Linked DNA regions of Macaca mulatta. The protein of the gene in region 2 purifies or fractionates together with the protein of the main gene of each other region. This does not show direct contact. Links are inferred from orthologs where the notes say so. Each region holds a gene or a part of one and is shown on either strand. Other genes may lie near its edges. The genes, in order: OSTF1 and MYO1E.

Region 1 (3,831 bases), on a different chromosome or scaffold from region 2:
TGTTGGAGAATCTTTATATATGTAATTCTTTGAAGTTCATCATGGGAAAAAATCTATTCATGTATTAATTTTTCAGTAGTGTTTTATTATATGGCTTATGTGCTGATTTAAGTGTATAAAACCACATTATTTATTAGAATATGATAGAATTTTGAATCTATATAATGATTATATTCTAATTCATGAAAAATCACATGGAGTCAAACTTTTTTTTTCTTCTAGCCAGATGAATTATACTTTGAGGAAGGTGATATTATCTACATTACTGACATGGTAAGTCCAGATAATATCTTGTAATACCACATATAAAGAGTGTTTTATGTAGCTATAACATTGTAAGTTATTTAAATGTATATGTACACAGAAATACATATGTACAAGTCTGTTCATTTTAGCACAATTGATAGTAGCATAAGATTGAAAGTAGCCCTTATCTCCATCAATAGGAAAAGAGTTGAATAAGCTTTGGTCTATCGACAAACAGAATATTATGCAGCTATAGAAAGAAATGGGGAATATCTCTATATGCTATTATGAAGTGATTTAAGTGAAAAAAAAGCAAAGTGAGAAAATATAGATAGTATATCCTCACTTTTTAGGAAAGGGTGAGAGTGTATGTATACACACACACACGCAGACCCTTGTTTTTCTCAATTTCGAATAAAAAATTGAAAGATGAGTTGCGAAGTAAAATTTAGTTTTATTCTGTGAAGAGTAAATATCCTTTCTCTAGGTGGAGGGAGGGAAATAGGGTATAATGGACATAGATGGAAGATAGACTTTTTGGGAAATTATACCTTGTTTTGTGAATTTGACTTTGAACTGATGTAAACCTTGACATAGTTAAAAATTGGAGTAAAAAGCAATCCCTAAAAATTAAAAGCAGAATGAATCAAATGACCTTAATTGTACTCTGGTAATTGACATAACCACACAGAGAGGAAATATTCCAAGTTTAAAACTCAGCAATTTGACTGAACATCCATAGTAGAATATGGATATATATATATATATGAGGAATATATATATGAAGAACATATATACGAAGAATATATATATGAAGAACATATATATATGAAGAATATATATATGAAGAACATATATATACATATGAAGAATATATATATGAAGGACAAAAAGAACTGGCCAAAAAAGGGTAAATTGATTTAAATCATGCCCTTGTTAGGGAAATGTTGGTATTGCTAAGTCTGAGATTGTTGCAGGTGTATTGTGGTTTAGAGCAAATGAGTCATTAGGTTGGTGATGTTGCTAACGGATTTTCAGCATGGCAAAAAGGATACAAGATTAATGACAGATATAAGATTAATGACAGTTTAAGAAAAGCTCTGTATTCCTTCATCTGAATTGGAAGGATCACATTGTATTTTATCTAAAATAAAACGAAAATATTCCCTGCTGTGTTCTTTGAAAGGGCCTAGGAAAAATGACCAACCCAATAATAATATGTTATTTTCCATTGAAACGAACAGGCTTCTTTGAGAAATGGTTAGTACCAACTCAGGGGCAGCAGAGGTACAAGATAAACCCAGAACATCCTCTTATTAGAAACCATGGAAGCTCCCAAAGACAGTAGGGTCATAATGAAAGGACTTGGGAACTAACTTGAAGAGACTCCCACTGGCCAAAGATAGGACAATTTGAGCATCAATTAGGGCAACAACTTTCAAGAATTGAAACATATTCAATACATTTAAATTTATGAGTTCCTAATGTTACTTCTGAACAAATCTCATTGGTCAGCATGAGAGAATGCTAGGAAACCAGGTTTTTATTCTGACAACCGTTAAGGGGAAGAATCCCCATTTATTCTGTGTTTTCTTTATGAATTTCTTATCTGGGCAACCTGAGAGTTGATGAGGAAGTTTTTGTTTGAAGAGGTATTCAGGTTATTTCAATGAAGAAGGAATGATAGAATTAGCATGTCACCATCTTGCAGCCCCCAGGAAATAGTGGATCTAGACAATGATCATCAAAGGCTACCAACATTATGAAAAGAAGCCGACTAGATAGTACGCGTTTCCCAATGGAAGAAATCAGTACTGCCTAGGAAATAGCTTTGCCAAAAAACATTGAAGCTGAATCTAATTAAACCTCTAGAACGAATGACCAATTTATAGGCAATACAGGGAACAGAGGAACATGTTTAATGATAACACAGGGATACAACAGGCAAAATCCATAGAGGTTGAAACTACAGGACAAACCAACTGGATTCTTCAACAAATATATTTCTAAGAGATAAAAAAGAATGGAGAGACAACCTTTAGATTAAAAGATACTTAAAAGACAAATCAATCATATTGTATAGCCCTTATTTGAATCCCAAATTATGGGGCAGTTGGGAAATTTGAGTATTGACCTTGAGTATTGTTGGAAAAAACTTTTAAGCTGTGATAATGGCATTATAATTGTCTTTCAAAAAGTATGTATCTTTCCGAGATACATACTGAAATATTTACAAATGAAATAATATGATGTCTAGAATTTATTTTGAAATAATCCAGGAGGGGAGTGAGGTCGTGGGGGCATATATGAAACAATATTGATCATTAAGAAATAATTTGTGCAGTTGGGAAATGGGTATATATAAGGTCGTTACATTGTTCTCTTTTTTTATAAGTTTAAATTTTTCTATGGTAAAAAGTTACCCCCAAAATGAAGATAATATAAAGAGATCTTTAGAACTTCCTCCCCCATAAAAAATATTATCTCGGAGCTAAGAGAAATGAAACTGTGGACACAAAATCATATAGCTAGTCTAAACTAGCGTAATTTGTTTTCTTCTGTTTCGTATCATCTCTGATTTGTTTGTTTGTTGGGACTCTGTCATGAAACGTATTCCATTTGTTGCAGGCAGATGCACATTTATTTGTGACTTAGTGGTAAGGGAGACAGACACCCACAGCTAGGCTGTGAGGAAACTTGACAGTGTGGGTAGGGTTGACGGACATTTTGTAGAACAGGTACTCCCTAGGAGCCAAATAATTTGAAAAGTGAATGAATGCAGTCTGGATTTCACACCGCTTAATTTAACTCTTCTTTTACCAGAGTGACACCAACTGGTGGAAAGGCACCTCCAAAGGCAGGACTGGACTAATTCCAAGCAACTATGGTAAGTGTTGCTGAGTGGTTTTATTCAGCTATTCTTCGTTCACTTGGAATTTTTTTGGTTCTTGAGGCTTCTCTGCTTGCTGCTGTGGCTGAGAAGGCAATGGAGTCACTGTCAGTCTCGGACATTTTCCATTCCATGAGCCTCCTGTTAATAAACTGGTCATGACCACCAGATGTGCTTGAGCCTGACTGTGTGGCCTAAGAGAAAGCATTATAGCATTCTTAACCCAAGGTTTCCGAGAACGCTTATGGTTTTACTTTCTTCAGCTCCTAAAACAATTGTTTTTAATGCTGATAAACTCAATCTTGCAGATCGTTTCTTAGACTAGCCCTTTCTTTTGTGATGGAGTAACACGACCTTGTTAATTCATGTTCGGGGCAGTGACGTTCATTAAATGCTTATCGTGGCAGTCTGGGGACCTTGAGAGAGGAGAGACACGGCTCCCGCCATGAAGCTGCTTCTAGCTGCAAGTGGCACAAATGGACAAAACACTTATTTAGTTGTCAGCAGAATAAAGTCAAAAGAGCACAGAATTGATAAACAAGGCTCCTGAGTTTTAATCCTTTTTCTTCCATTTCCTAATAACACTCCCTACTGATTCTAGGACAGCAGTGAACACACCTTCTTTTAGAGGCAGGTAGCTATGCTGATTGTTCTTTCTGAATACAGGAAGCAAAATAATCCCCCCGCCACCCACT
Region 2 (3,831 bases):
GGTTTCAAGTCACTAGGTTTTGGGTTAATTTGTAACACAGAAGTATGTGGAAAACATATTCCTAAATCTTTAGGCCCACAAATCAAGAAAGGCCCATGAATGTGGGTCTCCTCTTTTTCTGGTCTCTACTCCTAGCTTTACTGAATATTTTGTCCAGAAGAAACTTGTTACCATATTAGATTTAGCTAAGGTATCTTGTTGGGCAGTTCTAGAAGGAAATGCAGGATTCAGTGATTGCAGAGTGAGAGGACAGAAAGCGAAGTAAAGTAATGGGTGAAAGGAAGGAGCCAGAACAGGAACACAAAACCATTAGTCATTTTACTTTTTTTTTTTTTTTTTGGAGATAGGATCTCACTCTGCCCCCCAGGCTGCAGTACAGTGGCACAATTTCGGCTCACTGCAGCCTTGACCTCCCAGGCTTAAGTGATCTTCCCACCTCCGCCTCCTGAGTAGCTGGGACCACAGGCACCTGCCACCACACCTGGTTAATTTTTGTGTTTTTTGTAGAGACGGGGTCTCACCACGTTGCAGAGGCTGGTCTCAAACTCCTGGGCTGCAGCGATCCTCCCAGCTTGGCCTCTCAGAGTACTGGGATTACAGGTGTGAGCCACCGCGCCCAGCCTACTAGTTTGACTCTTTATAGCTAAGATATGAAGCATCACCAACATCAACTTGTGTTACTTACATCTACCAAGAAATCAAAAACCCGGGAGTGCAGGGCCTTGGCGAGCGCATCCCGGGTGTAACAGGCCTGCTCCACATTGAGGGTCACGTGGATGGATTCGGATTTGCCTCCCCACTTGCTATCCATCTGCCGGCTTGTTAGCTTTTCTTTCAACCGGTCCTGGTTTATCCCTAGCAGATATGCAGGAAAAGCTAAAACTGTAGAACATAAAACAAAACATGACAATCTTTCAGAATTGGGACACTTCCAATTCATCTCACAAACATATGGAGGCACTTATGTGCACATGCACATGTGTATACATAGAAGGCACAGTCACAGGCCCCAAGAGCTTATGTTCTAGTGAAGGCTGCTTATCAGTAATCCCACACACATCCATCTCCTTTGTTCTTCCCAATTGTTTTATTACATGAGTCAATTCCTAGGATGACTGAGACTTCCAATAATACAAATCAGGGATCCAAGAAGGATGGCAAACCTATCCCTCCTACCGAGATCACAGTTAAATGCCTAACATGGACATCTCTCCAAGCTTCCAGCAAGACAGCCCGGAAGGAACTCAATCAAGAAACATTTCTTTGGCTCCAAATATTGTTTTCTTCCTTTTTAGTACAATGTTTTCATAGCACCATTTTTGAAGCACCTGATATTACTGAACTAATAATTACCATGTTTACTAATCCCATGTTTATTGAGTATTTAGCACGTGTAGGGTTACTAAAGAGGGAGGAAAGAATAGAAAATATGTAAGAAATCTTGAAAGCAATCTAGACGAGGCAAAAAATAGTTTGCCAAATAAAGAACCCTTGGAAAAGCTGAATATGTAACACAGACAGACAAGATGTGGAGAAATTAGAACAGGAAGATATTACTACTTGCTGGGGTAGTCAAGAGATTTGAGCTGGGTGTAAAGGATAAATAGGATTTGTACAGATGCAGAGAGGAGAAGGGAGTGTACCAAGGGGAGGAAGCAGAAGTGTGGGAGACATGATAGAGACGAGACGCGGGCTACGGTGTGTGGACTAGCACTGGCTGCCGCTGAAAGTTCAGGTCAGATTAAAAAGGTTAGGACAGATTCCAATGCTGGCGGTCCTTGCATGGTATGATATATTTGGGCTGGAGGCAAAAGGGGGCCTGATGGCTAATAAAGAGGGGCATTATAAGAAGATTCCTCTGAGGGTAGCATATAGAGTGAAATGAAGGGGATGTTCATATCCTGCCCTAATGTCACATAGTATGGTAGTTTGTGGTCTTTGGATAGAAAAACAGAGACTTCCATAGCTCAACATCTTGTTTCAGACCATGAAACTTAACTAAGGAGGGCTAGTGATATAAATGGGGTTTTCCTGATTTCTGGGCAGACCGTTCTCATATAAATAAATGACACCATTCTTCGACATGAAAGAATGCTCAGATTTTTCCAATATGAATGAAAGATTTTTATAGATGCAATGGAAATTTTGAACTTGGCTATGAGTTTTCTTTTTTTGCATAATGCTTCACCAAAATTATCTGATAAAAGAATTTTGTTAAAGGCCTTATGATAATGCTAAAAAATCACAAGCCTCCCAATAAAAGATAATCTGTTTGAATTTCACAGATGGTGTTAGAATATAACGAGCTGACATTTCTCAGTGTACACCTTCCAATGAGAATAAGTCAGTGAATACATTTTGAAAACGTATAATGCCAGAACAAGACATTTATCCTCTATATGAGTGTTTCATAAAAATGCTTTGAGCAATAGAAGGGCTTCCTTTTAGAAAAGACATGTAAACAAAATCAAATGCACTGATCTGAAAATGGCCATTGTACTTAGTTTTAGTGTTAAACACATGTCTAGGAATCTGGGTGTGTCTTCCAGTGAACTAAAACTTCCTGTGCACAGAGTAAGGACAGATGACATTCATAAATCAGATTGCACCCATGTCGGGTTGTTGTGAGAATCAACAGACGTTTACCAACATATCCAACATATAAGAAGCCTTCACTAAGGGAAGAGTATCCTGTTGGTTTTATTATCAGAGTGATATCTCACTTGATGCAGTGGACATCATCCTCAGCAGTTTACAGGACAGTCACAAGAGCTCCTCTCATTGTTTATAGGAACTATACAGTGAATAGGTTCATAAAATGAATAATTAGCCTCAATCTGTCTTGTAAATATGGCTTTCTCCTAAGCCCTAACCACGTTCCCACATGGTTAAAATATTTGACTAAGATGTTTATGCCATTATCTTTATGACCTTTGCTAAAGAGATACAACAATAAGGGCTAAGATGAGAGTCCCGGAGACAAAAGAGCGAGAAGGGACGACAAAGACACACGCTCTACTTCCATCTTGTGGTCCTTTTCTGCAGAAGAGGGCATGGAGAGCTGCAAGCACTCACAACACAAGGAATGGAACTGGGCCAAGAATCACAGTCACAAGCTTAGGGAAATAGCGAAGGACACTAGAAAGGAAATACATCGCTTGGCTTGAAAAAGAATCCATGCCATGTTTTTCAAACTTTTATGGCCTCATATTTTCTTCAGTGCCTGCCCTAATGCTGAAATTACAGGGCTGCTAATATTGGCTTTCTTCAGGCTGTGAGTTTCCATGAGGCAGTTGTGAGTGTGTCTGGACAGGAGTGTCAGTATGGAAGCTTGGAGAACTGGAGAGGGAGAGGGAGGGAGAAAGCAATGATTAATTTTAAAATGTGGGTGTGTAACTCTGATATAGTTAATCAGAGTCATGGAAAACATAGAAGAACCTGCTAAAAAGTAGTATTTCCACACATTTAAATAATGAAGATAGATTACTATTACTGCATTAAAGTGTAAAGCAAAGTTAGGTTTAATTTTTCCACCTAAATTTGAAATATAGGGAATAGAGAAACACCAAAAAGATGTAGCAAAAATAAAATTCAATTTTTACAAATTTAAAAGACTCAGCATGATAAAAAAAGGTTTGTCTGTCCTTGGTGTTGAGTTTCTGTGCTTTGTAATCCGTGAATAATAATGGGGTAAAGGAGGGGCGCTATCAACTCTACTTTTCCTCCCCACTGTTATCAAAATAGTGACTTGTTCTTTCATTAAAATTCTTAGGTTAATTTGGTATGTAATACCTGCCACCTCACTGCATTGCTGTTGGACAGGTACACGTG

Evidence for each region.
Region 1: the proteins of MYO1E (region 2) and OSTF1 purify together in Homo sapiens (co-immunoprecipitation; 3 studies listed by BioGRID and IntAct, counting the BioPlex papers as one, with this or other methods). This does not show direct contact. The link is inferred for Macaca mulatta from reciprocal best matches to the Homo sapiens genes MYO1E and OSTF1.

Annotation. Positions count from the first base shown.
Region 1 is NC_133420.1:106,157,332-106,161,162, forward strand, and holds part of OSTF1 (osteoclast-stimulating factor 1), read left to right. Parts: intron 1-222; coding exon 223-273; intron 274-3,069; coding exon 3,070-3,133; intron 3,134-3,831.
Region 2 is NC_133412.1:36,535,451-36,539,281, forward strand, and holds part of MYO1E (unconventional myosin-Ie), read right to left. Parts: intron 883-3,831; coding exon 686-882; intron 1-685. UniProt on the Homo sapiens protein: Actin-based motor molecule with ATPase activity. Unconventional myosins serve in intracellular movements. Their highly divergent tails bind to membranous compartments, which are then moved relative to actin filaments.